Canis lupus familiaris: one gene and its partner. The protein of the gene in region 2 purifies or fractionates together with the protein of the main gene of each other region. This does not show direct contact. Links are inferred from orthologs where the notes say so. Each region holds a gene or a part of one and is shown on either strand. Other genes may lie near its edges.

Evidence for each region.
Region 1: the proteins of ARRDC3 (region 2) and ADRB2 purify together in Homo sapiens (affinity purification with western blotting; 6 studies listed by BioGRID and IntAct, with this or other methods). This does not show direct contact. The link is inferred for Canis lupus familiaris from reciprocal best matches to the Homo sapiens genes ARRDC3 and ADRB2.

The regions. Positions count from the first base shown.
Region 1 is NC_049225.1:60,961,352-60,966,385, forward strand, and holds ADRB2 (beta-2 adrenergic receptor), read right to left. Parts: upstream 3,080-5,034; 5' UTR 2,931-3,079; coding exon 1,683-2,930; 3' UTR 1,134-1,682; downstream 1-1,133. UniProt on the Homo sapiens protein: Beta-adrenergic receptors mediate the catecholamine-induced activation of adenylate cyclase through the action of G proteins. The beta-2-adrenergic receptor binds epinephrine with an approximately 30-fold greater affinity than it does norepinephrine.
Region 2 is NC_049224.1:17,821,028-17,826,085, reverse strand, and holds the start of ARRDC3 (arrestin domain-containing protein 3), read right to left. Parts: upstream 3,204-5,058; 5' UTR 2,864-3,203; coding exon 2,584-2,863; intron 436-2,583; exon of another isoform or gene 421-435; coding exon of another isoform or gene 294-420; intron 200-293; exon of another isoform or gene 55-199; intron 1-54. UniProt on the Homo sapiens protein: Adapter protein that plays a role in regulating cell-surface expression of adrenergic receptors and probably also other G protein-coupled receptors.

The DNA.
Region 1 (5,034 bases), on a different chromosome or scaffold from region 2:
AACGGTACTAGAATCTCTCCACAAAAAGGCAGTAGACTCACAGGCCTCGCCTCCATGGATAAACCCTACCAAACAATGCACATCCCCACAAATACAGTCAGTGTCGGGGCGGCTGGAAGGTGAGTTGGGAAGGCAGCATGGCAGGGTGGAGGGGTGGAGGGAAGAGCGCCGGCCCGGGGTCTGTCACTAACCCAGTGAACCATGGAAAATCCCTCTCGGATGCTCTGCAAAATCAAGCGGCTGCCCTGTTTAGATTTTGGAACCTTGGATCTGTGGTTCTCAACCAGGGGTGATTTCACCCCTCACGGAGTATTTGGCAAGGTCTGGAGACAGTTTCGGTTGTCACAGTTCAGGGGGTGCTGCTGGCATCTGATGGGTAGAGAGGCCAGAGATGCTGTTGAACATCTGACCATGCACAGGACAGGCCCCCGCCCAGAAAATTACCTGGCCCGAGACGTTAACAGTGCCAAGGCTGAGAAGCCTGGCTGGCTTTATATCGAAGTGAGGAAGAGAGACAGAAGGAGGAGGAAGGTTTACAATCTCGTTTTGAGGTCATGAGGTATTTATTCATCGGTTAAGTGTTTTCCAGCTTTCTCCCTACGACCAATGCCCTTTTCGGTTTCCCTTGGAATGACAAGGGCTCTGTCTGGGTAGCTTGTGCATAAGAGCTTCTTCCTTTATCTTTAAAATGCCAAACCTGACACAGTACGAAGATCTCCACTATATATAGATCTGCAGCCAATATATGACATAAGCAGCTGTTAAACAAGTAGGACTAGAAGGTGAGCAGTGGGGGCGCGTGGAGGGACAAAGCAGATGCCTGTAACTCCGTTTCTGTGAGTCAGTGTTTCTGATGTAACAACACAGAATCATCACCATAGGACCAGGGAGACAAGCTATGCTGACGGCAGGCACAACTGCTCTGAGGCACTGGCATTGAGAGAGATACAGGTTCGCAGCAGCAGAGTCAAAGGCAAAGGAAAGGGTTAAGCAATCAGTGCGTGCCATTCCTGTATCATTCCATATTAAGTCCCTGGGCAGTTATTTATTACAAATAGTTACCTGCGGTTTCCAGTGGGGGGAGGCGACCACACTCCAGTCAAGGGGTTTTGGAGAAACAGGTGCAATGAAGTCATGGTCAAACAATTTATTTACTGTAAACTTTAGACTTTGCTCAGGAACACAACTGAAGCTGCCCCTCAAATCCCTGCCTACAACAACACCCTGTTTGAGCAAATAAGAGGGGCCAGCAGAGTCCGTGTTCACAGCTGAAAGGTCCGAGATACTCAAGATCCTCCAGTGCAAGGGTGCAGGAAGAAAAGACTCCTTCACATACAGATGACCAGCAGCAATATATATTACCCCTAATACTTGATCAATGAGGTAGATCCACGGAAAAGTCATCAAAACATAGCAGCCCCAGGTCCTCTGGGACCAAAGCCCTTCAGACACAAACTTACACGTTCCATGCAAAAAAGGAACTGAACTGTACAACAAACAATCACTCGAATATGCTTTCTCTTTTTTTTACAGCTTAAAAAAATAAAAAAAAAAGGCAGAAGGCCGTCCCTCCTCCTGCACATCTCTATACAATTTTATTCTAAATTTATTACACTCAAGTTAAATAGTCTGTATAGTGTTTCGTTGCGGGGAGGGGGTTCATAAAAAGTAGAAAAGCTGCATTACAGCAGTGAGTCGTTTGTACTACAATTCCTCCCCTGCGAATCAACGCTATCGCTAGGCACAGTACCTTGACGGTCTTCCGTGCCTGGGGGGTCCTCACACAGCAGTTCGCTGTCTTTCTCCTGCCCCAGGTGACATCCACTGTGCTCCCCAGCATAGTCGCTTCTGCTGTTACTGTTGTTGGAGTAGCCATTCCCATAGGCCTTCAGGGAAGACCTGCGCAGGCACAGAAGCTCCTGGAAGGCAATCCTGAAGTCAGGGCTCCGGCAGTAGATAAGGGGATTGAAAGCAGAGTTGACGTAGCCCACCCAGTTTAGGAGGATGTAAACTTCCTTAGGGATGAGGTTATCCTGGATCACATGCACTATGTTGACGATGAAGAAGGGCAGCCAGCACAGGGTGAAAGTGCCCATGATGATGCCCAGAGTTTTGAGGGCCTTGTGTTCCTTCAAGCAGAACTTGGAGGACCTCCGATGTCCGTGCCCGCTCCGCCCATCCTGCTCCACTTGGCTGAGGTTTTGGGCATGGAAGCGGCCCTCCGATCTGTCGATCTTCTGGAGCTGCCTCTGGGCCACCTGGAAGACCCTGGAGTAGACGAAGACCATGACCACCAGGGGTAGGTAGAAGGACACGATGGAGGAGGCAATGGCATAGGCTTGGTTCGTGAAGAAGTCACAGCACGTCTCCTTGGCGTAGCAGTTGATGGCTTCCTGGTGGGTGGCCCGGTACCAGTGCATCTGGATGGGCAAGAAGGAGGTGAGGCCGGACACGATCCACACCATCAGAATGACCACCCGGGCCTTATTCTTGGTCAGCAGGCTCTGGTACTTGAAGGGCGAGGTGATGGCAAAGTAGCGGTCCACCGCGATCACGCACAGGGTCTCGATGCTGGCCGTGACGCACAATACGTCAATGGAAGTCCAAAACTCACACCAGAAGTTGCCGAAGGTCCACATTTTCATGAGGATGTGGCTGGCCCCAAAGGGCACCACCGCCAGGCCCATGACCAGGTCAGCACAGGCCAGGGAGGTGATGAAGTAGTTGGTGACCGTCTGCAGACGCTCGAACCTGGCGATGGCCGTGATGACCAGCACGTTCCCGAACACGATGGCCAGGACGATGAGCGACATGACGATGCCCATGCCCACCACCCACGCCTCGCTCCGCTCCTGCGAGTCTCCCTGGTCCGGCGCGTGGCTCCCGTTGGGCGCCAGCAAGAAGACGCTGCGGTTCGCGGGCTGGCCCATGGCGCGCGGGCCGGCAGGTGAGCGCACGGGCGCCTCAGCGGGCGGACCTCGGGGGCGGCGCCGCGGGCAGCGAGCGGGCGCCGGGAAGCCGCATCCAGCTCGCGGGGTGCTCTGCGCTCGCCCGCGCGGCCCCCACAGCCTGCGCCCCGAGAAGCCGCCCCGGAGTGCGCGCTGCCCGTTATGTGCACGACTTTAGGGAGCTGCCCTCCGCGTGACGTGCGCCAACTTTCCGCCAATGGCGCGCGGGCAGCCCCGAGGGCCCGAGCGCCCCGCCCCGCCCGCCCCGCCCGCCCCGCCCGGCCCGGCCCGGCCCGGCCCGGCCCGGCCCTCGGCTCTCCCGCCCGCTCGCGGGGCCGGCCCGGGCGGGGCCCCGCCGCTGCCCGGCCGCCCCCGAGGCCCGCGGCTGGGGCTGGCGAGCTCCCCCGCCGCGCCCGGGGCTTGGCGCTCCCTGGGGGCCGCTACCTGTGCGGCCCCCAGCACTCGGAAGAAGCAGCGACAGGCAGGGACAGGCACACGCGCACCCCGACAGACAGGCTCAGACTTCTGCGGAGACGCGCCCGTCCAGCGCACCCCCCAAGCACACTCGTGCGCGCGCACACAGAAGCCCACGCGCACAAAGTCACCCCTGCCCAGCGGAGGCCGGGCCAGAAAGCCAACACAGGAGCGCCCAGAGCACAGAACCAGGTAAACAGGACGCTGAGCGCTCACGTGGAGGCAGGCAGAGAGCCACAGACTCGGACGACCCCCTCCAGGTACCGCAAACCCCTCACTGGGGCGCACAGCACCCCCGCCCCTTCCCAGCACACACACGAGCGCGCGCGCGCGCACACACACACACACACACACACACACACACACGAGGCACATTGCCTTTCAAACATTTGGCAGGACCACAGGAGGTGACTTCAACAGCGGCCCGATTTCCTTAGCACACTCACTGTCAAGCACTTTGGGTGCCCTCCTTGGGAATTTGCAGGCATTGAGACACAGGATTGCACCCTCTGGATTTCACTGGGAGCTGGAGCTGGGGTATGCAGGCCCGGGTTTGGGGACCCGGAGAGAGGGTTGTGGGCTTCCATTCGTAATTCTTGGGCGTGTGCTAGCACTCCCTCGTCATCTGTGGGAATGAAAATGAGTTGAAAATAGAATAATTTTCCTTTCAACCTCATCTTCTTCAGCAATCCCGCTGCCACTAGAAAAAAAAAAAAAAAAAAAAAAAAAAAAAGCTTTCAATCTGCCCGGTAGTGTGTTGATTTGTCGGGTTGAGCCATATGAAATTGCCTCTCTTCTGTGGCGTCTGACTTTAAAAGTGGCTGTTTCATATGGCTCAGACCATTAGAATGTGTTAACATTCAGAAAGTTTTGAAACCACAGGACAGAAGATAATTTCTCCTTAAAAAAAAAAAAAAAAAAGTCATACCAAGCCTTCAGACTAGGGTCTTTGTCCATGAAATATTATCCTTTGCATCTGGCATATGACTTGACTGTTAAGAAGAAATTAATTTTCAGGATTTGATTTCACATGTATTAGTAGCTTCTTTGAAAGACTGAAAGTATTTCATGCAGTGTAACCAAACATACTTTGTAGATTACATAATAACATAACAATGGCTAACATTTAGGGAACACTCTGCTATGTGCTTTTCATGCATTATTCCATTTAATCCTTCCCACAGTCCCATGGTGGGGGGAGCACTATTTTTAGCTTTATTCACAAATGGGGCTCAAAGAGAAAAATAGCTTGCCTGGGGGCACGGGGCCAGGCAGTGCCAGAGGCAGGAGGTGAACCCAGGTCTTCTTGACTCTAAAACTCAGAATTGGAATACTCAGGTTCCAGATCCTCTGTCCTAGCACTTTCTAGCTCACCTTCCTTAGGCAAGTCAAAAAGAGAGAACCTAATTTCCTCCTTCTCTAAGTGGAGAATAAAGTCACTCCCACTGGGCAGAGTGAGAATGGAATATATAATAATACATGTGAAAATGCTTTTGCACATGTATGCACCACACAAATATGGGTTACAAATGAAATATATAAAGATCACTTAGTAGTTTAGAATGTGTTGTCAGTCTTCTCTAATAGAACAAATACTTAAGGACAAACGTGA
Region 2 (5,058 bases):
CGCCGCCGCCGCCGCCGCCGCCCGCGCGCCCCGCTATACATACGGCATACGTCGCGCGGCGCTCGCGCTCGCGGTCGCGCAGCCTAGCCTGCTGGGGCCGGGGGGCGGGGCGGCCGCAGCGCGGCGCTTCCGCTTTCCACGCCCCAGCCGGTGACCGGTTCGATCTGGCTCGGGCCACCCTGACACCTTTCCAGTGACGGTGAGGGAAACCGGGGCGGGGGGGAGGGCAGGGCCGCACAATGGGGGGTCGGAGGACGCTCGCCGAGGGCCCCCACCCACCCACAGCCACACACCCGGCTTTCCTTCCCGTCCTGGCCCCTCAGGTCCCAGCGAGGTAGCCGGCCTGGGGGCTGCTCGGGGTGGCACACACGCTTTGTTCCAGCTGAGAGGAAACGGGCCTTCACAGAAGCCACCTGACATCTTCCAGCCAAAAAAAAAAAAAAAAAAAAAAAAGCCAGGAAAATGGGGTCCGGCTAACCCTGCCGCGCAAGTTCCCTCAGGATGGGCTGGCCGGCTCCGGGCACGCCCAGCGGCCCAGCGGCACCTGCGAGGCCGCCGCGAGCTTCTCCCCGTGGGCTCGTCCGACCCTGGAGGCCGCAGGCTTCCGCCCCCCCAGCCCCCCAGGAAGGCCGGCGCGGGGGGCGACCCGGCGGGGACCCGGGGGGGGGGGGGCGGGGGCGGCCGCTCCGGAGAGACTCTGCCGGCGCACGCCGGTTCCAAGCCACGCCCACTCTCCCCACCCGCCCGCGCCCAATCCAATCAGCGCGCGGCATCGCCTTAGCAACAGGCTAACAAACGCGGCTCCGCCTATCGCCGGGCGCCCGGGGCGGGGCCTCAGTTACCAGGCTAGTTTGAGAGGTCCCACTTTTAAGTCATTGAAACTATTCCAGCTAAAGAGAGCCCGTCCACGCTTTACGGGGGTCGAGGGGGGGCATCTCGTGGGGGGGGGGGGAGGGGGGTACGGGGTACCCGGCTTTCTTTAGCACGGAAGCACGGAGCCAACTAATGAAATTGCGTTTGTCCCCGTAAGTCGTGATTCTACTTCTAGCTCGGCTGCAAGCCTCAACTCCTCCAAAACCTTTGTTTCTTATGTATTTTATAAAAAGCTGCAACGTCCAGAAAGGTTCAAACGCAAACCCCTGCGTCTGCTTTCCAACAGATACCGAGGCTGTCATTCGGCATCTGCAGTTCTTATCAGTGTTCCTGCTTGGAAAGAGGAGCTAGGAAATTATCTCAGGATGCAGGTTAGCTAAGGTGCAACTGTGAAAACCCAACTTTATATAAAGAACTGATTTCATCTTCGTATTTAATAATAGTGATAATAATAATAATAATGCATTACGTGCCGTAACTCAAAAGCATCCTTCATTTCGACACTTGTCTTAGTTCAATTAGCACTTCCTCCGGGGACGTGGTTTTTAAGATGAAAAAAGGTTAAAGGTGTGCTGTACTTTTTGAAAAATCGGCCCCATTTGAACTAAATACTGCATTAAAAAAGAGAAGCATGAAATTACATAACCAGTTTTAACATTATATTCTTCTTGGGCTAGGAATTAAGTCATCGCCACCACCTGACGCGTGTAACCAATCTGCTGAGAGCAGAACAAGCGCCCCTCCTCACCACCCCCCAGAACTGGTCCGAAACAGGATTGAACCGCTTCTAACAAAGGGTGGAAACTTAGAAAAACAAGCTTAGAGTCTCCTATATTTCCACAATGTAACCATTTAAACAATAGATTGGAAATCTCAGGACCCCTTCTCCCCTTGACAACCCTTTATCTCCCTTTTCCAACCAAAAATCAAATCCAATGTGCCGAATACTTTTCAATTCCATTTGACTGGCACGGGTTTCATTGAATGCACGTTCCAAAGTTAGGCATCCTACTCGGAAAAGAAAATTACTGACCCGAGATGGTTCCTGAAACTGATTTGAAACCTATCCTAATGATAGGTTACTGTCCTTTAAAATAGAGAATGCTTGATGTAAATTTATAAAGGATTTGGAGAGAATAAGGAAAAAACACGTGGGGTGTCGATACCATATGTCAAAATAAGCCACAGAAATCCTTGATCAAAAAACAACGATGAGTCCTTTAAAGTATTTTGCGTGTCAATATTAAAAGCGAAAACCACCTATTAACCCACTTAAAAATGTTATTCCATTTCTCCACTGAAGCTTAGTTTCTAGACCTGAGGTTGCAGAGTATAAGGGGGAAAAATGGAATATTGGGACTGCAGGGTTTAGCAATTAATTTGGAAACTGATTAGTAAAATTACTGGATGGGATTTAAGTAGAATTTACAAGCAAGGTAGAAATGTACTGCAAGTGCGTATGGCACCGACCAAGCCGGGTCTAGAGGTAGTTAAGTGCAGTTTGCAGTCACTTTGCAGATGCCTGCATGCATTACGGCTTAACACACGATGAATGTCAAGGAGAACCAAGATCTTCCAACTTTGCTAATCTTCATCAAGCTGCTATGTGTTACGCCCGGAGTGGAATTACATTAATTCAGAAAAAGCTGAAAAGGCACTTTCCCAAAGAAAAAATCGGTCTAATGAGTCCTCCATAATATAAAAACTTACCTCTTTCGTGTCCAATTAAGATGTCTTTATGGTTGAAATATTCTACTTCTTCAGTGTAATTCTGCGTGTAGGCAGTATTGGAGCCGGCGTTTCTCGATTCGGTCCAGCGTACTTTCGCATGCCCTCTTGCATGAATTTTAAGAGATTTTACTCTGATTTCCCCAGTAACTTCTAAATTCACCCTTCCTGAGACTGTATCCCCACTAGAATACACAGGGACGTTGCTGTCATTAAGACAGTCAAAGCTTATTGTCAAACTCTTCACCTTTCCCAGCACCATGTTTATAACAACAAAAAAAAATCTATAAAAATATAATGTAAGACCAAAAAAAAAAAGTCAAGATCACATATAAAATGTGATCTTCACCTAACACTGATCGATGTCTTTGCCGTGCAAAAAGCTTGCAGGCAAGATCAGTGATTCTTTACAAATAGTTCATTGAGATTTCTTAAAAAGTCAGGGCAGCAGAGCCGCCGCCGCTGCACGATCCCGCTAGTCTCAGTGGTCTCCTTACAAAGACGGGCGGCTGGAGCCTGCCAGCTCACTTTAAGAGCAGCTTTGTGAAAAACAACCCCAGTGCGCAGGCGCACGCCGCGGCTGCTGTCCGCCCTCTCGGCGCGTCCCCGGCTCGCTCGCGGGTACAGTAGGTGCGCGGCTGCGGGAGGGAGGCTCCGGGGCTGTCGGGAGGCCGGGCCTGACTTCTCTCCATCGTGGGCTCCCATTGGCAGGCGGGCTACCGTAAACCCTCGACGTGCGCTCCGGGGCCGCTTACCGAGCTCACCCTAATAGATCCTGAGACAGTGGGGCTCGGGGTGGGGGGGCGGCCAGGGACGGGCGGGAGGCTGTGTGCAAAGCCGGGGAAGGACAAACTGCCGCGTGCACAGCCCGAAGCCTGCGTTCCCGGCACTGCGGGGTTCGGCCCACTGCTCGGATGGAGGGAGGAAAAAGTGATGCGTGAAGGCGGGTGGGGGCAGGGGGGAAGGAAACCGGTTGGGCAAGCGGCCGGCTGCTGAGCTGAGCACGACCTAACGAATTTCAAAAGAAGACGTAATAAAAACCAGACAAGAAATAATGTCCGTAGACACGAGCATTCTTGGCTTGAACTTTTTTTTTTTTTTTTAAAGACCAGTGCGTTGTAGGCAGTTGTGGAAATGAACTCAGGCGAGGCCACAGAAACCTTAGAGGAGAGGACACCGTAAGGAGCCAGAAGCAGAAGCAACTAGAATTTCATCAATGGGTTGTCGTTGTTGTTTTTCAATCAATAGGTTTTGCTTTCTCTTCAACTGTTTTTGTCTTCCATCTCTTAATTAGCAACGAAACGCAACAAAGTTGTTTGCATGATGACGCGGGGGTGGGGTGGGGGGGGGAGGCTGACCACTTCCTAGAAGGAAGAAAAGAGACTTTTTTTTTTTTTTTTTTTTTTAAAGACACCACCTCCGGCTAGATGTGCAGTGTATGACATGATTACAACTCTGTCCAGGGGATTAAAAATAGAGTTCGGCCTAAAAAAGTACCACCTTCTACGAGGCAACATGACACAGTGTTTTAGCTGACATCACTTTCACGACATAATAGATCTTCGTTAGAAATTAGTGAAGGCTGTAACCTGGTTTTTAAAAAGCATGCTTTGGTATATGAATAGAGCTTAGTTTTGTAAAGTTCTAATGTTAATTTTTACAGGCCCAATAGCCTTAGACGGTTCAACATCGTAATTCTCATACTAAGTCTCAAGACAAGTACATGTATCTCTCGATTGTGAACATTTTAGTAACAAATGGCAATGTTTTCATAAAATCACACTGGGGTTCAAAGTGTAAGCATAATCTTTTCTAGATTTTTGCAATCAGAACTTTCTAAGAAATGTAGAAGGGAAAAAAATAAGAATCTGGAACTATATATTCATAAACTGTAGAAGGTTTTTGACTGTATTTAATGGTCTTGCTGTTTTCTTGCTTTTGGGGGAAAGTTGACAAGGCCAATTGCCTTATTTGACAAGGCAGTGATCTTGGCCTCAGCATTATATATAAATATGCAAACTATTTGGAGAGCTAATGGCAAGCCATTTATCTCTAATTGAGTTTAGGTGGTTATGTTTAAAGCTATGAATTTGTGTATTTGAGTGGGGAAAAATAGTCTTTTTTTTTTTTTTTTTTCTCCTCTTGGTTGACACCTGGTGGAAATTCTAGTGGTTTAAGTGCTTGGGATTTTGTACTAGCCTTAGTGGCAGATACTACTTGGGTTTTTTCGCCACCTAGTGGCAAAATGGTGAATTTGCGAAGATGTCAGTTTCTTAGCTTTAAGGTCAAATGATATTAAGCATTCAAATGACATTGGACAAGAAACGGATTTAACCGTGTAGTACACAATGAGGCCTTCATTAATAAATATTGTTTTAAATTCTTAAAGGCTACTTAACAATGGCTGAATTCTTGAGAATTTTTAGTAAACTTTTCCCAGTAGGAATATAACTTACT